Drosophila melanogaster: one gene and its partners. The gene in region 1 interacts genetically with each later gene. Each region holds a gene or a part of one and is shown on either strand. Other genes may lie near its edges.

Region 1 (9,462 bases):
TTATTGCAACAACATTTGTCGGAAATGGCAATGAAGACCCGAGGACTTACAGAAAAGTTCCAGTGAAATGAGTGTATGCAATAAGTGGCCAAATGACATCTTTATCCATCCGGATTTTGATCTAGTTTCTATAATTGTATTTAGTTTGTATTTAAATAGGCCGTCAGCTCTGTAAATTGTCTCCAATTTTAACTTAAGTTCAAAAGTTCTCGACTTGATAAACTTTTATTTATAATTTTTACAAAATTACATGCTCCATTTACAATTTGCACATATATATTGTTTTAAGGGTGTATAACTCATTTTTCATTTATTGTTTTCACTTTTAGTAAATGTTTTATAGTTTTTGTTTTTCCCATATATATATATATGTTTAATTCTTATGTTGAAAAGTTTGATTTTCACCGTTTCCTGTATGAAAAAATCTGCCTTTCTAAGAATTACTTTCCCTTTACCTCTCCACCCATATTATTGTTTTGCAATTTTCCACATTGTGTATGTATCTATAATGCCAAAAATATGTAAATACATCTCTTTATATAATATATATATATATATATATATTTGTGTCTATAGCTAAACTGAAGCCTTTCGTTTTTGGCGTGTACAGCACTTGGTAGTGGTAGCAAAACTCTTTTGATCTGCTTCGTCGCCTTTGTCTAGATTCTAGATTAGTTGAGAGTATCTGCATAAATCCTTGTCTAACGGACCCGGTAATGACTTGACTATGGAACTAAACGACTGGTTGACACGGATCCAAAATTACAGTTTAACATATAGATATAGATTAACGTATAGAAGTAGACGCTACGACCAGCAATTTGTCCCAGTCTGTTGTGGTGACGTTGTAAGGATGCTTATAGGTTATCAACTGTGCTTGGTGGACCAGAAATTGGCACATCTCTATTCCTTGGCGGTCCGCAGGATCATCCACGGCCAGTCCAGGACAAACAAAAATGCCTAATTCCTTTTGATCGGTGTTCAGGAACACGGTTCTCCGCACATATATATATATATATATTTCTATATTTAATAGGTAGTACATACAAAAATACACTCACGCACATACATACCACAATTTATGTGTCCTGCTGGGCGATTTGTTTCATATAAATATATTATGGGTATGCTGCTCTAACTGCTAGGCTAAATAGCGTACAATATTTGCAAATTTGAGTCGTGGAGTAGTAAACATGTTTTATATAGTATGTGTGTATAATAGTGGCATGTGGCATGAATGTCTGGATGTCATATAGCTATCTATGTATGCATGTGGCAGAAATCGGGGGATATATATGTACTCAATCAAGGTGGTAAACGCCTACGCCTTAAGTTAGACAATTCAAATTCAACTGTACAATTATATTCACGCGTTTACTGAAATGGTAAGAGCATAGTTGTGATACCAGATTATTGCACAATTAGATCTAATTGATAGGGCTATAGCTAAAGCAACGCTAGCAGCAACATGCATTGGGTAAAAGATATAAGAAATAAGAATATATATAAGAAGGTCATTCAGGGCTAAGCTTCACTGTGGCATGCGTTGGAGCAAAAGGGTAATCTTGAAATGCATATGCAAACGAAATTGGAGCTAGACAATCGATCTCGTTGGGGATTCTTGATCTTTATTGGTACTATGCATGATCACTAAAGATAGGTATTTTGTATGTGTATATATATATAGCAATTGGCTTGCATCCGTTGCCACGCCCCCACTCTAAGCCCCCAAATGCAAATGCATCGTTCAAAATTGTTTGTTCTCTAGTTGTGCGGATTCTATCCTTCATCTCTGGACTTGGACTTGTGCTTCTATATATGTATGCTTTCTGGCCTTAGTCTGGAGTGTGTAGGTCTATTTGGGTAAGTTCTGTGGTTTGACTATCCTCCTCATTGGAGCTACGAATATTGGTGGCGTCGGCTGGCCAGCTCTCTCCTAGTAGTTTCCATCCGGCGGCGGCGTTGTGAGGTACTCATCCGTCCGCTTGTGCTCGTTTAGCGCCTTCACGGTTCCACTGTCCGATGGCAGGTCCGATTTCCGGCGCAGCAGCGGCTTGTCCTTGTTCCGTTCGCCACGAATCTGTGTGGAACGGGAAGGGGGGTTTGGCAATAGAAAATGGACCCGCTTCTGACACTAAGGCATCGCAGCACACACACACACACACACTGGGCGGGTGAAGTTACACGGTGGTGCGGGATGATTGCGTTACGATATCGAGTGCTGTGGTGCTGGATGGAAACTCGATGACCACCAGTTGGACAACACACGACTACGATATATATATACATCTACACCCGAATGTCGAATTGTGTTACAAAGGTCTGAGATCGAGGAGTGTTGTATGGTTTCTGGTTCTGAGTTGTTAACAACATGATACATTTGACACTAGTTTTTAATAGTTATGTGCACAGATTTTACTCTAACTGGGATTCATGCTTAAAAATGGTGATTCACTTGAGGAAAATTATGTTAAGTGTTCAAATTAATAAATGAGAATCATATTGATGTTACAAAAGGAACGCGTTCTCTCATTAAAATGACCACAAATGAGTTAAAAGATGGACCAAAGTGTAATTAACATCTAAGTAAGATAAACTACATATTAATTCCGCCCAATTCGTATGCGGTTAACCAAAAGTGCAGGAGAAAAGTTGTTGTGTCGTGGATGAATTTGCATGGATGCGTTTGGTTTGGCAGACAGTGAGGTTACCAAATAATTAATAAATAAATAGACAAAGTTAAAGATATACAAATATGTATTTTTTTTTTTTTAAATGACATGAGTGTGATTATTTTAACAGACATTCGTTCGATTAGAATTAGAGTTGAAACAGAGTGGGCCTTAGCTGGGCACAGCTCACAGCGACGCCAGGATCACACGTGGCGGATTAGTAGTTGTTTAGTGTTGTTAATGTGGCAAGTGCCTGTCTCACCTCTCGGGGCTCCTGGTGCGCCTGTTTCTGTGGCGGCAGCGGAGGCGGCGGCTGGCGCGCCCTCTGCTCGCTCTGATCATACGCTGAATCGCTGTTCTCACTATATTGATCGCACAGGGCCCGGCTGTCGCTGACCGGCAGGCAGTCGTTAAACCGGCGCGCCTTTGTCCACTCCGGGTTGGTCTTGGCCAAGCTCTCCACCTGTTGCCAGAGCTCCTCCCTTTGCGACAGCTTCTCACGCTCCCTGCAATGCAAAAAAAAAAAAAAAACGCCAATGTTTAGTACAAAGTAATAAAACGTGAGTGCATCGTCCCATGGAAGTTAATTATCAACTAAAGTTAACACATACATCTGCTTCTCTTGCTTGTAGTTCTTGCTGCACTCGTCAAAAAGCCGCTGATCTATCTCCATGAACAGCTTGAGTGCATTGTAGATCAGACCATGGATGGTCTTGTTCCAGTGCGTCTTTGAGTTGCGATTGAGCGCTGGGAACATAATGGGTAATATCACCGCCGAGTTATCCGTTATCAGCGACATAATGTACTCGTTGTTCCAATAGTACAACGCACGTTCGGCCACCTGGAAATGAGGCGAAGAGACGCACTTGGCTATTTGGCGGAACAGCGGCACCATCACCTTCTGGAACTCGGCCGGCTCAATTACGTCCAACAGCTCCTCCAGCTCGTTCAAAAACATAACCTCCTTGGGACTGTGCGTCTTGGGCCAAAATTTAAGTAGGCTTCTGCAAGAATATTGAAATATGGCAGCGATAGGCTAATTAGAAAATGCGCAAAATAAGGAATTCTTTACTCACTTGATGACCGCCTCCGATAAGCTAGGATCCTTCTCCAGGAACTGCACCACACAATAGGTGAGCTGCGGATGGTAGACCGAGAGGCTCTTGGCTTTGTGCAATGGCAGCAATACCTTAAGTAAAAATTGTTTATGCTCCTCCTTAAGCGGCAGAGCAAAGCCATTGATAATGCTACCCAGGATTTCCAACAATTCGGCTATGCCATTATGATGCTCCGTTTCATAAATAAATCTAAATGTGGAATGCGATTAGTAATGTGAGGCATTAACCTTATAGATATTCCAATGACGAGCTCACCTGTAAAAGACATTGTTGATCTGCTTTCTAATAAATGCTCTCAAGCCCAAAAATTTTCCATAGATGCGATGTAAAACAGTCTTCAGGAAATCACGTTCACGTGGATCCTCCGAATCGAATAAATCCAATAGTTGTAATACAAATTGATGGTCGATAAAACGTTTTGCCATGCTTGGTTGAAAATCTGGTGACTCCAAGAAGCGCAAGAACAGCTCGTAAACGAGTTGCAGATGCGGCCACGAGGACTCCAACGTGGGCTCATCCTCCTCCGGATCGAATTCGGCACCATTCGGGTTGGACGATGGCGGCAGAGTTCGGAAAAGGTTGACAGCAAACTGATGAGAACAGATAAGTATGTTGTGGTAAAAGCATGTGATATTATTTTAAATATGTAAATTAGTAGCTTACCATATTGATCGCCTCCGGGTAAATAACTTCGGTTATTACGCCATTTTGGTTGGTGAGGAAATCGACCATTTCGTGCAGAGCCGCCCGCTTCACCTCCTTGAACTTGAGGTCGCTGAGCGGCTCGGAGAAGTCGAACAGTGTGCAGCATTGCTGGATCTTCTGTATGAACAGCTCCTCACGTTCACTGGCGGCGGTCTCTATGGAAATACAAATGAAATCATCATTAATTTTTTTAAATATATAATATAAGTGATAGATATATCAAACAAAATGTAAGCCATATAAAATTGACCTTAATATAAAATTAAAAAAAAAAAACCTACAACTACAAAAACGACCAACCAAAAGCAGGCAAGCGAAACTCAAAACGAACATAATGAAGATCGGAAGAAAGGATCAAGTAGCCGGAGGACCTCAGGCCCAAGGGCAATGGCTGGAATGGCTCCATCCATCGCCATTGGCCCGGATCCATTCGGGATAGCAACCTCGCAGTGCAGGCAGCGCCATGGCAACCGAAGCGGTGGGTGGCGTGTAGAATAGATTCCGGTCGCGAGCCCTTCCCGGACTGCCCGTCAGCTGTTGGAGCGTCTGGGGCGAGGGCTGAAGACCCGCCGGATGACCCGGCAGTATGTCACCGTTCTGCCGGATGCTTAGGCTCGATGTGGTCACCACCATGGTGGCGTTAGGTGTCACCATTACTGCTGATGACGCAGGTGCTGCGCCGCCATTGCGCTGGCCAATTCCCAATGAGATGCTAATGCCGCCCACCAGATTCTGGGCCACCGTCGGACGCATCTCCTCTGCGGGCACATCGCTGGTGGTGGGAACAGCGGCGACGGCGGTGGCGGCGGACGACGGCACAGCCGCCGCAGAGGATGGGGATGATGAGGAGGAGGTGGCCGCCGCTGCTGCCGCCGCCGCAGCACTAGTACCCACACTCTTGGTGGCATTCAGTATGTTCTTTATGGCCGCGGCCGCGCTCACAGGTGACTGGATGATGAGGAAGCGATGAAATGAGAGCAGAGTATGGTTTTGGTTTATCAAATTTCGGTTTGTTCAATTGGGATGGAGTTAGTGTTGGTGGATAGTGTGTGAGATGCTACTAAATGTATTAGCTTCTAGCGTACAATGTAAATAAAACTTTGATTAACAAGGTACTTGAATTGTTATTTTTTTCTTTGAAACTTAGTTATCGTTATCCAAAAAGCTAACACAATTAGTGAAAGTTTGGAAGAAAGTGTAAAATTTGTGGTTTGTACTTGGAGGTGGTGATGTGGTTATGTTTTGGGTTTTCAGATCGCTGGGTGTGTGTGTATGTGGACAAGACCAAGCTGCAAACCTTGCTGGCGGCGATGGAGCTGCTGGCTGCGTTGTTGGTGGCGGTGGATGAGGAGGAAGCTGACGAGGAGGACGCCGCCGAGGCAGAGGATGCCGCAGCGGCTGCCGCCGATGCTGCGGCGGATGTGGCCGCCGAGAAATGTTGTGCCAAAGTGGACACAAGTGAATTGCTGCCGCTAGCAGCGCCCGTTGACGTTGTTCCAGATCCAGATCCAGATCCTGCTCCTGCCGCGTTCTTCGACATGCCGGCATTCGAGGATAGCGAGAGCGAAGAAGTGGAGGACTGCGATCCAAATGGCGAGGAGGCAATCAGTGCAGCTGCAGCCGAATTCGCTCCACCACCGTATGTGGCGGCCGAGGATGAGGCCGAGGAGTTAGCAGCCGCCGAGGCTAGCGAGGATGAGGCCGCCTGTGAAAGCGAGGACAGGGCCGAGGCCGACGAATTGGAGCTGGTGGACGAGGACGATGGTGAGGAGGATGTGGTGGGTGCTCCGGATCCGGCTGCTCCTCCTGCTGCTGCCTCTGGCGGTGAGAGGGGCGTTTTCCGCCCCTCGAACTTGGCCTTTAGCTCCTCCACGCTGCTAAACCTGAATCGGCTGCCGGTCTGTTGCTGCTCCTGCTGCTGATCCTGCACCTGATCGTCCAACTCGTCGTCGGCCAGCTGATCTAGGCCGCTGTGAAACGATGGAGATTTGGGTATGCGTATGCCGAGGGCATAATACCCGGCTGCAATGGGCTGCGTTTCCTGCTCCTTGCTGGAGGATTTAATGGGCGCCGGTTTCTTTTGCTCTTGCTGCTGCTGTTGCGATTGCTGCTGCTGCTGCTGCGGCTCCTGCTGATGTTGCTGTTGCTGCTGTTTGGGACCTTTGAGCCCGTTGCCCGTCAGCAACATAGCACCGAAGACCATCTCATTAGTGCCGGCACTTGGAGCAAATGGCACTCGGTTTTAATCTTGATACGGAACGCTTGTTTTTTTTACCAGCCGCCCCCGCCGACCAACAACAACACATGAGAAAGACTACACTAGAAACTCAATTTGGGCACGCTAAGTATGAAACTATAGAATCTGTAATGGAATTGCAATATAGATAATGGTTTAGATTAACGCCAAATGCGATTATGCGCTGATGGTAACACAAAACGAAATGAAATGCAATTGGAAATGAAAATGGAAATGACAACGCCTCTGCTAAAATTCTTCTTTTGCCTCACAAATGGCCATAATTACGTGGAAAAACTTACGGTTCGAATGGGAACAAATGAGGGAATAGGATAGGAGAGCAATTAACTTGGGAAACGAATATTTTCAACTAATATTAAAGTTTTCGGGGCACACGACGTTCACGGTCTTGAAACGGTTTTTTTTTTGTTGCTTCGACTGCTGCGCCAATCGGAAAAATCGATATCGAGAGAGAATGAAATGGAGAGAAATTTGGTGAGCAGCAGACAGAGAGAAAATAAAGAGAGAGAAAGTGGGCTGGTGGGCGAGCGAGCCACAATAACAATAAAACCTAATAAAATAAAATAGTATTGAACAAGCGAAATTTGTTTATTCGATTTGTGAGTCGAAACCGCCCAAGCAATTAGCAGAAAGGTATGTGAATAACGCAATGCGATGACATTCATGCTGCACAGAAAAAAAAAGTGTAGCAATTTCATAATCATTACGCGCAGATATGTACATATATGATTTTCAAAAATATTGAATTTGCTTTTTTTTAAATTAATTCCCTGCAGGATACAGTTTTTCTAATTATTTGTATACACAAGTTTAAATCAATCGAATACATTTGTGTCATAAAGAAATGCCGGTGTATATATGAAATTTAAGACGGTCTGAGAAATCCTCTAACGATGCTTTCTCCCAGTGTAATGAGAGGCTGCGGAGAGAGCGCATGTGTTGAAATTCCGGTGAGTGAGAGAGGTGGAGAGAGGTGTGAATTGATGCGGCTGCTTGGTTCACATGTGTGAGTGGCCGTGCGTCAGTGTTGCCACCCACCTAATCAGACGACACTCCCTTGACCTTTAACTTTAACAAATAATAAACAAATTACAACAGCTGAGCGAAATTAATCAAGCGCCGGCCAATCAATATTCCCAACAAGCTTGCAGGTCGTAGGTACACTTTACAGAGAATGCCTCTTGTAAGTTAAAGCTGAACTTATAATCATGGAAATTTACCGGAGTTAATTGACATAATATATGTAATTATGCATCGTTAATGGGAATTACTACGATTTATACAATCTGTTTTGAGTGTATAGTTGCATAAAAACTTAATTGACGATGTTGGTAGACAGTAAGAAAGGTAATTTTATATCGCCTAAACGGAACCCTGCCCTAAAATGTATGCTACGACATGGCTACGACCAAGTTCTACCCCATGCAACCGATCTGCAGGCTTAAGAGATATCGATCTGAACAGCTGGCAGTACATGTATTATAAAGTAATATACTAAGTAGTAGGATCTACTCCAAGGCTACTCACTCTCGTTTAGCGGAATGAGGGCCGTCAGTTCGCAGTTCTTGGAGGCATTGTACCGGGCGCTGGTCTGGCGCTTCTCCTTGCGAACGATCGGGGTGCCGGTGATGTTCAGGACCTTGCTGATCGGCGTGGGCGGCGGTGCATCGTACGGTGGTGTGTTGTCCTTGAGTTTGTTAGCCTGCAAAGGGGCATAAATGACACTTATCTGATTATCTTTTCCCATGTCAACGGTTTGGCTTATGCTTAGTAAATGAAAATAATTTTAACAACGAATGCAAAGCAATATGCGGTCAAATAAAAAGCATACTCAAAACGTAGCACTTGCAAAATCAGAGCAAAGCAGTTCAGTTCGGGATGGTCCCTCGCTGCCATTTTGGCCGGCCATCGCTTTTACCTTGGACTGTGCGAATCCTTGACGCCTAAGTTGAGCTGCCTGTGGGTGTGTTTTAGTCTGAGTTTAGTAATGCCGAACATTGAAATGTGCTCTGGGATCAGGAAGCTGGAGTTCCGTAGGCTCTCCATACACGTATAGGATTATATTGCTGGCATCTACCAGGGAATCAGGTGGTGGCATATATGTATATATTTTCCAGGCACTAACATTTATGTATTTTTTAAAGCATTTCATTGGGCAATTTTTTGGCAGTTTCAAAAAGCAAAGTGCTCGCCTTATACTTTATGTTTTATTGCAAATGTTCAATATTTTTGTCGTTGGAGAGACAAAAATGTAAAAAATTTTCATTAAAAGTTCTTCTAGTTAATAACAGGCATGTGAGTATAAAGATTTGTATAATCAACTCCGTCTTTTGTTGACACAAAACTTTCGGGAAATCGTATAAAATCTAGGATTTAGGGCAATCTATTCATTCAATCGCAAAAGTCTTATCAGAAAGTAGAACCCAAGGTAATATAATTGAAACGATAACGATTTGTAAACCAAAATTGAAAAGCAATAAAGATTGCTAGATTACTGTTACCACTTACAAGGTCATTAAATGCTATTTATATCGTTTGTTAAATAAAGAGTATTTCCTCTATTTAAAGAAATAATTAAATGCATCATATTTCGTATAAAAAAACTTATGAAATTAATTAAAAAATCATTTTTTAAAATTAAAAAAATTAAAATCTAATAAGTTTATCTCTCTAAGGACTAACGAATTGGTCAAATTGGAGATGAGGAAAA
Region 2 (6,286 bases), on another chromosome or scaffold:
GGAACCTGTCCGGCGCGCATATTAGTTCGAGTGCATACCTTGTTTCCTACCTTAGTCAATGCCTCCATGCGTGCCTTTAGCTGCTCTTCCATGTCGGGCTGCAGCTTGGCGTGCTGGGCGAGCTTCTGTTCGGAGAGCTCCAGCTTCTCCTCGATGGCCCCGATCTTCTCCTCGTGCAGCTGATTCGGATTCGGCATTGATCATATGGCATGGATTGGTTGTGGTTCGTATTTGGGGCGGGTGTTTGTTCGATTAGTTGTCGGGGGGAATAGTTGCGTATGTAAATGCAATTGATTAGTCACGCTTAAGGGGAGCTTAATGAAAGAGCAGGCTAGGGCACAATTAGAAACAGAGTGGATCGATTTTTTACAAAATATCACAGATGCTATACGAACTAGATTTCGCTGCTAATTTTATTTCATTACTCTAGCATACTAGCGATAATTGCTTGACTTGTAAGATCATGAAAAATTTATCTGCTATTCAATTGGAAATAACTTTACAGTAAGGTAATGAGTAATCAATGGATTTTTTTGAACAAATGGACTGTGCGCTTATCGAAATATAATAAAAAAAAATCGATCCTCATGAATAAAAGTAAAGATATGTATGCCTGCCTTAACCATAAGCTGTAATTTCCTTGGTTTTACCCACCTTGAGCTGCGCCTCTTTATGCCGTAGTTCCTGCTCGAGTTTCTCGTTGAGATCATGCAACGATGTAGACTCCCTCTGAGCATTCAGGTATCGCTTTTCCAATGTGGTAATGCGCTCCTCCTAAAAATGAACGTATAAGTAAAAAACTGAAACCATGCTGTGAGTATTATTCACTCACCTGATCCTCTTTCTGGGCAACATTCTCGCGCAGATCCCGCTGCAGCTTGGCACACTGGTCTTGGGCCTTGCAGTGTTCCTTTTGCACTCGCGACATGTTCTCCTCAAGCTCACTAATCTTGTTGTTCAAATCAGAAACGCGTCGCTGCCATTGTGAAAGTTCCGAGGTCTGACAAGGAAAGAGCGTTTTAAAAAGTGTTCACCATATGCAGACTGGAAACAGATCCGCAATCTTCACCTGCTTCTCAATAATGGTTTGCAGCTCGTGGGTTTTGGCTGCGTAGTCGTTCAGCTCATTTGCCTCGCCATTAACGCCACCAGATCCGCCCACGCCCGCCATCTAGGGTATTGGAAAATAGAAGAGATATATTAAACCGGACATGCTTGACTGCATTTCGAATGTGGAACGCACCTTCTCTTTGAGCCCGTTCTCGGCGCCCCCACCACCGGCGGTGGTTGCGGCACTCCCTGCTCCGCTGCCACTGCCCACGCCAGCTGGCACCACGCCCGCCTTGTACTGGGCCAGTTCCTCCTTGGCAGAGCTGAGTTCCTCTTCCATCATGTTGTTCTTCTCGATGGAAAGCCGCAACCGCTCGCGCACCTTCTCGTCCAGCGCCTTGTGGTGCTCGAACAGCGACTTTAGCGCCTTGAGCACTTCCACCTCGCTGGAGACGCCGCTCTGGGCGGCAGCCTGTCGCTTCACAACGGTCATACGCAGGGAACGCTCGTGGCGGGACACCAAGCACTCCAGATGTTCGAGGAGAAGCTGAAATAGTCAAGTTAGATCATTAAAAATATATTATTTCACGCAGTAACCGACGTTTAAATTGTCTCTTTAAAAGTAAAATTACCGTAGAAATTTAATTAAAACTGATTTTCTTGATATTCAATGAAGCGGAAAGGACTTATAAATACAGTTTACTTCACTTTTTATGGTTTAAGACGGATGTGAATACAAAGAACTAATTCTTAAAAGGCTGTAACAATGTTTGTATAGTCACTGATAAGTAAACAAATAGACAAGCCATGTTCGAAATAAAAATGAAGACGGACAGAGTAAACTTTTGTATTGTTCCCGGTATATGTGACTAATTCGCAAAAGCAAGTACCTACAACTGTTTCTTGTTTGAATAACAATGGGATATGTAATTTAGCAATGGCTATAATACCTAAATTAATAAATTAGTCTAGCAAATCTTGTCATGATCTACCTGATCTAACCATTACTCAATTGTCTCAGTAATTGAAATACCAAGGATCTAAATTTTCGAAAATCACTTACCCTGGTATTATTCCTCTCCGCCTTGAGCTCCCCAATCTCCTCGTCACGTTCCAAAAGGGTCTCCCGCGCTTGCGTCAGCTCCTTGGTCAGGGTGGCAAACTCCTAGAAAGATCAGGAAAAGATTTTAGGTAAACTGCGGTATCAGCATGCAGAGGCCACTTACTTGCGGCAGATTAGCGTTAATCTGTCGCTGCAGGCTGTCCCGCTCCTTCTCGACGTCACGCAGCTTGTTCTCCGTCTCGTTAAGCCGCTCCTGCGCCTCCCTCAGGCTGTCCATCAGCTTGTCCCGCTCGTCCAGCATGGAGACCATCAGCTGCTCAAAGTTGGCATCCTCCCCGCTAAACTGCGAGGAGCGCTGCGAGATGCTATCCTCGGATATCGTGGGCATTACGTCGCACATCATGTTCCACATTATTTAGTTGGGGCCGCCAGACTGTGCGAGACAGAGAGGGGAATAAAGGTTACAGGATTTTGGCTGTAGGTACATTTTGTGCGGAGATTGTACCACTATCGCTGTTACCGAAGCACAAAAACTAGACGCGTTTTTCTAAAGTTTCTTGAATTTGATCCTTGATCATAAATGAATTGGCGTGATTGAATTTTTGTCTGTGATTCCGCATATGGGAGATACTTAATGCTGTAGCTTCTTCTGCATAAAATCAAATTCTTTATGTTAATTGAATTTATAAAGTAAATTCAATTAATTCATACAAAATGTCCATTCTATGGAGTCCGGATATTTTACTACACACACACACGTTCGCTAGCCATTCCAATTGAAATACCCAGCATAGTGGGAGAAACATGTCTAATGAGACTTATCATAGGCGCCGCATTGATAACAAGTTTTCTACACCAACACATACGCACACTGTCGCAGGCGGGGGCACACGCACGGCATACACACTCACACGCGCACGCACACAGGCACAGTACTTTTTCTCTTTCGCATAACTGGCATATTTTGTGTGCCTAGGTGTGTCGCTGTCGCATTTTGCAATCACATATACCCGAAACAGGGTTAAACGAGCAGCAGGTGCGAGCTTACGCCGCTTTTAAATGCGTTCCAATGAGTTTTTCACCTGAAATTTCGGTTTAGTGGGACGGCGTTCGTGTGAAAAAAAAGAGGCTGCGAGAAAATCGCCTCGTACTCCTCGTTACGCCGGAACACGTACCCCGATCGATCGCACGGCGGCTGGGCAGCAGCAGCAACAACAACTCTGGCCGCTTTTTGCCCTTCGCATAGGTGTCCCGGCTGCTTTTAATTAAATAAACCGAATTCCAAATGGATTTTTTAACGATGAGAAACTGGTCAGTGTTACCAGATGGCAAAACGGCTAAAATCCGTAAACCAACCCTGGTTCTTCACTACAAAATGTACTACATTTCATGAATTTTTTCAGTGGTTCTATTTCGTCCAAAAAATATAGAAGTAAAATGTGTTGTTTTAAAGTTTTTGTGGCAGTCTATTTATGTTCAAAGCTAAATTATATGCAAATATTATTGCCGATCAGGAGTTGCCATTTGACCTATCGTCAAGTATTAGAAAAATGTGTACTAAAACTAATGCTGCCACACCGCACAAAGAAAACCATATCTAACAAATATTCAAACTACATGTAGGCGCACAACTAGACAGTCAAAAAAACTTATCACTTTTATCTGAAATTATTTTGTAACTTCCGTCATTTAAATGCAATGCTTCAACAGCTACACATGTTTTTGAAAAAATTACATTGTTATGGTGCCTTACAGACAAACATATTTAGTATTTATTTATCTTAATTAATTTGCAATTCGCTTTACAGCGATTAAATTATTCGATAAGAATCATTGCTCTTATACGAGCTCATGTGTTATCGATGCTTGGAAGCTAATAAATAAATCATCGATGGTGTTGAGCCAGTAAAAACATCGATAGCACCATACAAACATCGATTTTGGTTCCAGCTCTAGACATTTGTGTTTTATTTTTTTTAACCGTGAAATTCATAAGTAAAACCGACTAGCATTGGTATAAACTGCTGCGGAAGCACTCAGTCAGCGCCAAAGAACGAATACAATGGGGTAAGACCGATGGGCGCGGCCAAACCGGCCTAAACCTGCCGTTTTTACTGTGGGAAAAATCGACGCCGAACTAGCTGACATCTCCCCCCTATGATGTTGTTGTTGTTGCTGCCGTTCTGTGTGTAGCGGGCGGCGTAAATACATACATATATATGTACACAAACATACACCTACACACGCACACGCGTGGGCAGGCCAATTACATGTGTGTGGGTGTGCAGGTGTGTGTGACTGTGCAGGTGTGTGCGTGCGTGTTTTCCGCCCGAGAATCAAAAATCACAAGCAAGGCTGCGGAAAAGGCTTAGCACATAATGCAATTTAGTCGGCGGTCGACAGTCGCCAGCGATAACGGGAAGACACAAGTTATAGAGCTCAGCGAACGATGTCGGCGGATAGGTAATAGATAAGATATATATATGTATATGTGTACAAATAAAGGCACTGGAGGCTACCACGGATACGGAATTGATTTGATGGGGGCCCTGCGCCCCGCAACAAACTGTCATTGCATCAGGCCAGATCGCAAAAAACAAACATATATCGACCTACTTTATCAAATAAGGACCACGAGGATTATCCTGGGACTTAAGGACTACTAATTATAAATGCATTACACAGTGCCTGTTGACTAATAAACCACAGTAAAAGAATGCTTTGCCATAGTTTACTCACACGAGCACAGAAGCACAATTTATTGCCTGCTCTAAATGGAATTTTTAATTAATCACACGCTTGTCGCTTTAATCCCTTTATGACCCTTAGCGAACAACCGATTTTCACCTGCCAGGCGCACGTCTTCCACATCGATCCGAAGACGAAGCGCACCTGGATCACGGCCAGCATGAAGGCGGTCAACGTTAGCTTCTTCTACGACAGCTCGCGAAATCTGTACCGCATCATCAGTGTCGAGGGCACCAAGGCGGTGATAAACTCGACGATCACACCCAACATGACCTTCACCCAGACCTCCCAGAAGTTCGGCCAGTGGAGCGATGTGCGGGCAAACACGGTGTACGGCTTGGGATTTGCCTCAGAGGCGGAATTGACCAAGGTGAGTGGTTAGCATATGTCTCACATATTTATATACTAATCATATCGCTCAACAGTTCGTAGAGAAGTTCCAGGAGGTCAAGGAGGCCACCAAGAATGCCATGAAATCGGCCAACGGATCGAATGCCGTCACGCCCACCACCTCGGCGAACACGTCGCCCATTTCCGGGAGAGCTGTGGGCTCCATGCAGAACGACAACACAGCCATCGATCCGCACACTGTGGAGCCGCCCAACATGAGCAACACGAATACCCAGAACGCCAATCCGGACAGTCCTTCCCACAAGCTTCTAAATACCAGCGATGTCAAGGCGGACATCGGATCGGCCACGCCCTCGCCGCAGCCCACTTCAGGGGTAACTGGTGGCGGTGGAGTGACCATCTCGTCTGGCGGAAGCATTGTGGGCATGCACACGGGTCCTGGAGCCGGCGCCACCGCCGAGCAGCAGCTTAAGTACGAGAACGAGCGTCTGAAAATGGCACTGGCACAAAGGTAAGCAAAGCGTTGACCGTCATTGGCTCAAGGCAATAATGCCTTCTTTTCAGCTGCGCCAATGCCAAGAAATGGGAAATCGAGCTGGCTACCTTGAAGAACAACAATATACGGCTGACTAGTGCTCTTCAGGTAAGCAATAAGATAAGCTCACATTTATTGAAACTGATCGTTTTTGGCCTTTTTCTCCCAAAGGAATCAACTGCCAATGTAGACGAATGGAAGCGCCAGCTGCACACTTACAAGGAGGAGAATATTCGCCTCAAACGAGATATGGAGCAGCTGTGCGTGGGCGGCGGGGTTGTGGCTGCAGCCGGAGGAGGCGCCACAGAGGACGAACTGCGTCGTGAGGTGGCCACGCTCAAGGCGCGGACAGAACAACTACAGAAGGAACTTATGCAACAGGAACTTGAGCTTAAGTCGGCCAATATTAGCCTACGTGAAAAGTCCAATGACCAAACGGTGGGTAAAGCATAATAATCATGTTGAGTAATTTGCTAATGAAACTTTGTTTTTAGCTTGCAAAGTTGAGTGAGGTGAATGGTGTGTTTGCCAAGCATCTT
Region 3 (9,354 bases), on another chromosome or scaffold:
AATATTTCACAGAGGCATCATCATCATCAACCGGAGCGGGAATGGCAACTCATCATCATCATTGTAGTCTGCAAAGTTTATTTAGGCAAAGCGCTTCACTTTTGGCTACACTCTTCAATTTTATGGCAACAAATTTGCATCGTAAAAGCTACGCCAACCGCCCCCCCCCCCCCTGCAAATCCAACCACCAAACATACTAGCCCCGAAATTATCCACCCGAAAAAGCGCCCACACACAGACGATAAAAATACAAAACGTTTGTTTAGGCTCGCCCTCTCTTTCTGTCCCTCGGAAAAATCAGTCGTAAACTAAGGACAAAATCGTAAAAACGGAGCAGTTCATTTAAATTTTTAATATTTAGGCTACCTTCAGTGGCAGCATACCCCACATTCCCCCCCATTCCATTCCGACCGTAACCTTAACCGTATCCATCATACCGATTCACTTACTTTTGTTTTATGATCCGAACATTTTCGACCATCATCTGTGAGCAAGAGTCAGAATACACTTAACAAATCTGCGGATTACTGCTGCTATAAAATCAGTGGATTTCTCGAAATCTTTGTACCTGATATAGTATGCAATGCTACCTTACTATTCAATTTAAATATTATATTTCCAATATTAAGTTATTATGATACCAAATATTTGCCAAGTGTTTTAAGGGGCCAACCCAAAACGAGTATCTTTCATCGTTTTGAATTTATGCCTTTAATTAAATACAAAATCTACCTAGGATTCATCTTGCTGGGCAACTTTTCTGTGGCATTCCTTTACTTAATAACAGGCCATCAAATAGAGTTGTATTTCTGTGGGTTATATTCATGCCGAGCATCCTCACCCGCCACGCCCCCTTGCGCCTCCTTGAACACGCACTCAGGATTTATTTCCACATTTATATGAGACTGCGGGGGGTGCGGTGCGGTGCGTTGGGTTACTGGAGAGGGTATGTAAATTTTTCAGTAAAAATTCACTTCGTGATAATGGATTTTCCATGTCGCATACGCCGCAGTCGTCGTCGACGTCGCTGCCTGCACGACAAATACAATCTGCTCCAGGGCCTCCAACTGAACCCCCCCCCCTCCACGCTCCCCTCTTTTACAACTGAAAATCCAGCCCCAACTCCATGGCCTCTCCACAGCAGCCAGGGCGACAATTACCTCCCCCCAGCATCCTGTGGAGCTCCTGTTCTGGTTTCGGGTTTGTTGGGGCATGATAGATGACAAGTCTCGGTAGGTGTACGTATGGGTATGGTTGTTTGCTCGCCAAGTTCTTGGGCACTTGAGAGTCCCCATCCTCGATCCAGCATGTTCTCAAATTTAGATTTTCATCCAGACCAAAACTCATGTGGATACAGTGCCAACTGGCGGTGCACGAACTGCTTATCTCAGAATAATCCATATATTCTAGGGTTTCTACTATTGCCAAATGTTTATTATTTATATATCGTTTACTTTCTTGCTCTTAATATACTTTTCATTCGTATGCTAAAGTTAAATAACCAACTAAATTATCAGGAACATCAAATCCAATCGAAATAGTTTCCAAAATACTTTGTAAACAGAAACAATAGAGAGCGACCACTGTACATGACTTTTGACAGTTCGTGTGGGCGGCTGCTAAAATATGCAAAAATTTATACAAAGTTGGCAAGATTTTTGCTTTCGCTTTCGCTGGGAATCAAAGGCAGCCCGGCTCTGATTTAGATTTTGACTTGGGCATCATTGGTTGGCTGGCACCACGACCTCCGTCCCTTCTATCTGCCCTCTGCCATCCATCCATATATCACCTCCCCCACACCCATATCGCCTCCTTTGTGGTCTCAATTAGGTGGCCCGTTTGAGGCTCGACTTCCGCTCGTCGTGGTGGCCTCGTGTTAACTTGGCCATGTTCGCATACACACTACCAAAGGAGCCCGCAGGCCAAAAGGGAGCGTCATTGCCAGAACGAAAAACCAAAATCGTTCGCATGGGTCTCTCTTAAAGGACTTTCTCCCTTGAACGCGCGCTCTTCGATGGCTCTCTTCGTCGGCAGGTGGGAATTGTTTGTTTGTTTTTTTTTTCTTTCTTTTATTATTATTAAAGTTACATATGAACTTAATTGATAATGAATTTTTTTTAATCATTTTTCTTTGCTTTTTTGTTTGTTTTTTAATAGTTTTATTCGCTTTTTTTTATTTAATTTTAATCAGTAATATTAAATTTGTTGTATTTCCTTATTTTCTTTTTTATAATTTTTGTTTTTATATAAATCGCTGGCCCGCCCCGCGCTTCCCCCATCGCAATGGCGTTCGCTGCTGCTCCTGCCACATACTGCTCCTACTTTTTTGCTGCTGCTTCATCGTTATCTTCCTGCTTTGTCGGTCGTGGGTCGTCTGCTTCTGCTTCTGCTGCTGCTACCGCTGCTGCTTGCTTATGCTGCTACGTCCTGGCGTTCGTCCTTTCGTCCCGTTTAGTCCTTTGTCAGCCCCTTCCGCCCACACACACATCACGTCATAATCCATGAGTCCATCCATCCATCACTCCTGCTCCCTGGCTTTCTGCTGCGACGCTTAGTTCGTTATTTTTATAAATTAACAAATTTAGCTAAGTAGTTGTAGTTCTTCTTGTTGCTTGCGGTTTTGTTGCTTGGTTTCTGGGTTGGTTGGTAGGTTCGATTGGATTGTATCATTTCTGTATACTGCTTCTCCTTCTGCTCCTCCCCTTTATCTTTGATATAAATTTTCTGCCTGCCGCCCCCGCTGGCGACATTTCCGGTTTTTTCCTTTTCTTTTAAACTGTGGCCAACAACAATAACTGTTCAATGCATTTTTGTGTTCTCGACTGTTATGGTTACTTTTTTTTTCTTTGTTTATACAATATCTCTTCCACTGCTCTCTGTTTAAAACGACCTCCACAAAACAAATGCATCGAGGTTTTTAGTTTTGGGTTGTTTTTTATGGTAGTTTTTTTTTCGACAGCACTTGCCATTTTGTTTATTTTGTTGCTGCTGGTTGGATTTGTATATATTATATATTGTTTCGGTTCTTCTTGTTGTTATAATGCGATGTAATATGTGTAAATGTAAGCTGCGTAGGTGCGAGCAATCCAGCTTAAAGGAAATAATCGGGTGTTCTTCGCGTAACATGAGGCTCCCCGCGCCTGGGTGCTGGATCAAATTGTAGGCTAAAATAAATGCAAACGATTAGATTAGTCAGACATGCCGCATTTAAAGGCAGCTCAAGCGAATTGCCACTCACAATGAAAATTTAAGTGAATCATCCAGTTCCATAAGAGCCGCTTGGTTGCCACAGCGGTAGCAATAGTTTGGCGCTGAGAATATTGTGACCACATTGCGATCGTGACACCAGTTGTAGCCCTCCATCACCAGCTGATGGGCGCGCGACACCAGTGTCAGGCCGTTTGTGTTGTTAAAGGTTTCCGAAATATCCTTCAAATAAAATGGAAATATTAGTAAAAATGCTTATAGAAGTAATTGGCTCTTTCTCAATGAAATTCGATTTGGATAGTTAAAATTTGTTTTGTAGTTGACGGTTTGAAATGTCAAAACAATTTATAACGAAAGCTCTTTCCATTGATTGCGTTATCAGTTGGGCCTATATCAGCAGTAGACTTCGATTACTGATTATTGATTTTCATCAAGTGCATGCCCCGATAAAATTTCCTATTAAGATCAATAAAAAATTTATCTAGAATATATTTGCATGCTTTTGAGCAGACAATTTTTGTTCAGCTTAGTTTTAATCGGGTCTTCAGATGTATTTCACTTAACAATTTTACAATGTGATTAAAGAATAAATTTCCAAGTATCCAAGCTAGGCAAATCAGCTCCGAATTTTATTGAGAAATAGCCAACATGCAGACAACACTCACCTGGCCAAAGGTGTAACCGGCGCCACGAGGCGAGATTCCCCAGCCACCCCTGTCATCGGGATCGGACCAGAGCAGATCGCACATGGGACCCTCGTGCGGAACCTCCTGCAAGCGATCGAGGGCCCGAATGTGATCCAGACTGTCGATCGAGGGACTGAGGCCTCCGTGCAGGCAGAAGATCTGCCCGTCGACGAGTGCCGTCAGTGGCAAGTAGTCGAACAGATCCGTGAAGTACTTCCAAACGTTGGCATTGCCATACTTGCGCAGGCACTCGTCGTAGAAGCCGTACACCTGTGTGATCTGGCGCGACTCGTGGTTACCGCGCAGGATGGTGATGCGCTCGCGATAGCGAACCTTCAGGGCCACCAGAAGGGTCACGGTCTCCACGGAGTAGTATCCACGGTCCACGTAGTCGCCCATGAACAGGTAGTTGGTGTCCGGAGACTTGCCGCCTATCCGGAAGAGCTCCATGAGGTCGTGAAACTGACCGTGGACATCTCCGCACACTGTCACCGGGCATTTTACCTCCTGCACATTGGACTCCTTGGAGAGAATCTCCTTGGCCTGTAAAGAAATGGAAACAGTAGACCAATCAGCAATTTATTTATGGATATTTTTAGGGAGATACGTTTTAATGTTACCTCCCTATTCGAATAACCGAATAAACAACTTTGAATACCAATATTAAAATACTGATTAACATAATCTAGCCCAAATCGTTTCCAGGGTCAGAAAAGATAAATAAAACGATTAGTACTTTGTACATTATTCACTATACTTAATGACTCAACGCCAACACTCAAAGTGTACTCTAAAAATAGCTTGTAACTAGAAGAGAAATTAAAACAAATATATTGGATAAGTGCATGCGTTTTTTTACAGAGAATCGAGGGAAATAAATATCACTTGTTCTCTTTAAACATCCCACAAGAAATTTTAATGGCATCAAAACTCAATCTCTTGGGTAATTCTGAAAATAGCTTCCCGCAAAACCCTATAAAACTGTGTACCTAAACATTGCTACTTCCTATAAGAAAAACATAAACATGTAGCAAAATTTCCGGAAATTACAAAACATTTTTGTTACGTTTGTGTGTAAATAGTTAACCAAATGAAAGTAATATGGAAACTTTGATGTTCTATTTTTTCACCTGCCATAATTCGGTGAATGGTGAATGACATGACAGAATATCTGCGAAACAGAAAGTACTGAGAAAACCGAAAGTGATCCGCATGTGCGGATGATAAAACCTTGTCAAAGGCCAAGGTTATCCGTCAAGATTTGGTCAACAAGCGAAGAACCTCAACTATTTTCTCATCGAATTTTGCGTCAGTTGCAAACAAGTTTAAGTTGCTAATATAAGCTGTATGAAAATCAAAACAAAGGAAGCAAAGCTTTTTAATAAGTTGAGATAAGATGAACGTACGATAAAAAGTTGTCCGTATAAACATAACAAATTCACGATTCTGGAAAGTATTCTATCGTCTTTAGTAAAATAAAATATGAAGGTCGATTCAAAAATTCCCGATGGGCGTCAATATACAGCATCAAAAAAACCGGTTTTTACAAACATAAATGTGCCAAAATGAGCAAACAAAAATTGCACATTTATTTTGACCATTCCGCCGTGTTCTTTGCGAATTCTTATATTTATCAGCTGACGAAATGGGACATGACAACAAGTTCCGGGGGTAGAATCCGGCGGCGCAAATGAGCGATTTGTGCGTGAGCCAATTAGATTTTTTGCCATATGCACAGCATTACCTTGGAGGCTGTTGCTTCCGCTTGGCCAGAAATCGAAAAAAAAAAAAAAAGAAAAATAATTTTTGAACTCATGACGAGGCCAGCGCACCCATACAGATGCATGCACAAACACTGATGCAGCTTGTGCTCTCTCCGCGTACTCTCCGCTTTTCTTTTCGTAGCAACGGGAAGGATGGAGAGAGGCCGCAGAAGACGCACCCGAGAAGAGCGAAGAACGTTCTTCTCGGAGGGAGAACGGAGATTCAAGATTCTAATGGGAACACTGACAAATATTTGGGTGACGCAAACATAACCCCACTTACTCCTAAATCAATGAATCGTTATCTGTTCACCCTCTCTTTTTCTCTCCCTCTCTTGCACTCTTTTTGCTTGTCTGTTTGTTTGTGTGCGCGACGCGCCTGATGAACGGTAAAATCGGCAAATTAAAAACAATTGATATCAAAAGTGTTTAATTGAACATGGTTGGTCATAAAAAAAGGAACACAAACACCAATGCAAGTGCATTATTCTAGAATTGAGATACGACGGTACATAGATACATATTCTAGGGGCGCGCACACACCGACGCACAAAAACATTAAGTAATATTTACTCAGCAACGACAAAACGCGCATGAGGTTGCACGGAGCGGGGGTGCTCAGTTTCCGGTGGACACAATAACAACAACATTAAACACGCACAATGCACTTTAGTTAAACAATCAAATTGTACAATAATACAAAAAGAAATATCTCTTTTTGCCCAGGTTTAGCCCATTAGACCAAAGCGCTGTTCTAGCTGTCGCATTCACGCACGCACTTGCCCGTCCCGTTGTCCCGCTCGCACTTGTGCGCGGCAATGCGGCGCTTGGCTGTTGGAATTTACCAATATTCCAATATGGCGACGCAAGCCGCCGCTACTGTGCGAGCAAGAGGGCACGACATGAATCATGCTCTCGCGCTCTCCGCTCAGCGCCTCTCCCCATTGGAAAGAGCGAGAGGGCCAGAGACACGCAGCGTTGGAGCACCATTTGCAAAAAAAAATCGCTCGCTCGCATGCAATGACGAAAATTATTTTTATAACATCTCCTAATTCGCATGGGGAAAATGGGCAAGGACCGGGCCTTACCTTGTCGCAGAGGGTGCGAACTTGTGTCTCTGTCAACTGATTGCATTCGTTCAACTGCTCAATCCATTGATCAAGATCTTTTGTTGTTGCTTTATCCTCCATCGCAGTTGTGGTGGAAGAAAAAGTCTCGTCAATCTTTGTCGATTCAATTTTGACGGCTTTTATTATAACTCAGGGGTGCAGGAAAATTAGCAACTACTGTTGCGTTCGATTGCCAACCGCGTATTCACTCGTTTATCTCCACACAATTGCCAATCGAATCAACTCGATTTGGGCGATTTTCTTCGTATTTTTTGTTCACAAAAGAGACGACGACACGATATACGAAGGGAAAGACTGCCCTCGGTGTGACCGATTGCCGCGAAACGCTTAAGAACGCGCTGTGTGTGTGTGTATCGATTAGCGATGCATGCTTGACATTTCTACAAAAATACCGACTAAAACTTGTGGATGGTATCCTTACTATTTGGCCAACAGTTACCAAGTAAAACTAGAAAATAAAGTGGGATCAACGCTCACCGTTTTTTTTACATTATTACGTGATAGTGACAAAATAAAAGTATGTACATAGGCATTTGGGCAACAAGATATTGGGATTGTTTTAAAATCCTTTAGTAGTCTTTTCATAGATGTGCATTAGCGTCGATTATTTCTTAAATAATAGCACAATTTGTTTTAAAACTAAACTTCAATATTTCTGGGGTTCTTTAGATATAATAATATTAATACTTGGTGTAAAAGTATTTATTTTTTTTATATATATTTTAAAGTTTTTGATATTATTATTTGACGTTACATTTTACACGTATTATTTGTAACAGAAAATTCAAACTATCGATAGTTTTGTCCTGTCCAACACTGAACGCTCGCTGACAGTTGGCATCTTAGCGAGCACTGGAACCGGAACTGCCTCTTTTTCTGCCAGCTTGCAGCGCCTTTGGACGTGTTTCCTTCGCGCTCCGTAGCAAATAATATAAACTCAAGATGTCCGAGACCCTGCAATTGCGCGGTACCCTCATTGGCCACAATGGATGGGTCACCCAGATCGCCACCAACCCCAAGGATCCCGACACCATAATTTCGGCCTCCCGTGGTAAGTAATCGCCATTGAAATTCTTCGGATTTATCTGGTAGCACGTGCGTATATTAATGGCCACCATCTCGATTCGCAGACAAGACCCTGATCGTGTGGAAGCTGACCCGCGACGAGGACACCAACTACGGCTACCCCCAGAAGCGTCTCTACGGACACTCGCACTTCATCAGCGACGTGGTGCTCTCCTCCGATGGCAACTACGCCCTGTCCGGATCCTGGGATCAGACCCTTCGCCTGTGGGATTTGGCCGCCGGCAAGACCACCCGTCGCTTCGAGGGACACACTAAGGTGGGATAAGATTCCAATTGCATTTAGTTCGTTTAGGGAACTGAGATTTTGAACCGATCTGTACCGGCAAAAGGCTAAATGTAAGGTTAGGAGTGAGGTTAGGCCCGCCTTTGCCGCGTACAAATCGAAAAAATATATATTGCGCCTATGCGAGGCAGAATTACTGGTTGACATCTGTACGACGTACGCTTCACCCTTCGCTCGAGTCTCGGCTATAAATTGCTTGAAGCTCCATCGTAAGTAGGCAAACAATCTCTGATACCCATTGATTCCTAATTAGTTGCAAGAAACCCATCTGGATTCCGTTCACTGACTAATTGAGTTGGGACTATGCCCATTCAGTTGGTCAGTGAAATATCCAGTAAATATATTATTTTTATGAAAACCATACCAATACCATTAGCTAATCGTCAAATGCTTGTTCGCTTTCTAGGACGTTTTGTCGGTTGCCTTCTCGGCCGATAACCGTCAGATCGTGTCCGGCTCTCGGGACAAGACCATCAAGCTGTGGAACACCCTGGCTGAGTGCAAGTTCACCATCCAGGAGGATGGCCACACCGACTGGGTGTCGTGCGTGCGCTTCTCGCCCAACCACTCCAACCCGATCATCGTGTCCTGCGGCTGGGATCGCACCGTCAAGGTCTGGAACTTGGCTAACTGCAAGTTGAAGAACAACCACCACGGCCACAACGGCTACCTGAACACGGTGACCGTCTCGCCCGATGGCTCCCTGTGCACCTCAGGTGGCAAGGACTCCAAGGCCCTGCTGTGGGACCTCAATGACGGCAAGAACCTGTACACTCTGGAGCACAACGACATCATCAACGCCCTGTGCTTCTCGCCCAACCGCTACTGGCTGTGCGTGGCCTACGGACCCTCGATCAAGATCTGGGATCTGGCATGCAAGAAGACCGTTGAGGAGCTGCGCCCCGAGGTCGTTTCGCCCACGTCGAAGGCCGATCAGCCCCAGTGCCTGTCCCTGGCCTGGTCCACCGACGGCCAGACTCTGTTCGCCGGCTACTCCGACAACACCATCCGCGTCTGGCAGGTGTCTGTTTCGGCTCACTAAGCTACTGACCTTTGTAACGGGCGTCAAATTTGTTTAGCTAAAACAAAAATAAAATTTAAGCGTCCTTAACTGAAATTTGTGTATCTTGTAGCGGCTGAATTAGTTTTAACTTTAGGCTTTGGGCTATAGAGTTTTCTCCGGATAGATGGGAATAGTA

What was found.
Region 2: of wrd (region 1) and Liprin-alpha, changing one suppresses a phenotype caused by changing the other (phenotypic suppression), as found in Drosophila melanogaster (one study listed by BioGRID).
Region 3: of wrd (region 1) and mts, changing one enhances a phenotype caused by changing the other (phenotypic enhancement), as found in Drosophila melanogaster (one study listed by BioGRID).

The regions. Positions count from the first base shown.
Region 1 is NT_033777.3:18,170,521-18,179,982, reverse strand, and holds wrd (well-rounded), read right to left. Parts: upstream 7,140-9,462; 5' UTR 7,034-7,139; intron 6,858-7,033; 5' UTR 6,699-6,857; coding exon 5,793-6,698; intron 5,444-5,792; coding exon 4,939-5,443; intron 4,651-4,938; coding exon 4,454-4,650; intron 4,381-4,453; coding exon 4,046-4,380; intron 3,980-4,045; coding exon 3,749-3,979; intron 3,677-3,748; coding exon 3,284-3,676; intron 3,179-3,283; coding exon 2,935-3,178; coding exon of another isoform or gene 2,890-2,934; exon of another isoform or gene 2,742-2,889; intron 2,081-2,741; coding exon 1,937-2,080; 3' UTR 1,608-1,936; downstream 1-1,607. Other genes in the region: cdm (cadmus), read left to right, coding at 1-66.
Region 2 is NT_033779.5:6,721,087-6,727,372, reverse strand, and holds the start of Liprin-alpha (Liprin-alpha), read right to left. Parts: upstream 3,471-6,286; 5' UTR 3,289-3,470; exon of another isoform or gene 3,196-3,288; 5' UTR 2,980-3,195; intron 2,547-2,979; 5' UTR 2,526-2,546; coding exon 2,277-2,525; intron 2,216-2,276; coding exon 2,114-2,215; intron 1,598-2,113; coding exon 1,244-1,597; intron 1,172-1,243; coding exon 1,070-1,171; intron 1,001-1,069; coding exon 833-1,000; intron 775-832; coding exon 655-774; intron 180-654; coding exon 39-179; intron 1-38. Other genes in the region: homer, read left to right, coding at 4,563-4,576, 4,943-5,231, 5,287-5,723, 5,777-5,855, 5,919-6,185, 6,242-6,286.
Region 3 is NT_033779.5:7,825,544-7,834,897, reverse strand, and holds mts (microtubule star), read right to left. Parts: upstream 7,249-9,354; 5' UTR 6,847-7,248; coding exon 6,745-6,846; intron 4,437-6,744; coding exon 3,873-4,436; intron 3,430-3,872; coding exon 3,239-3,429; intron 3,165-3,238; coding exon 3,092-3,164; 3' UTR 1,322-3,091; downstream 1-1,321. Other genes in the region: Rack1 (receptor of activated protein kinase C 1), read left to right, coding at 7,729-7,837, 7,917-8,128, 8,562-9,197.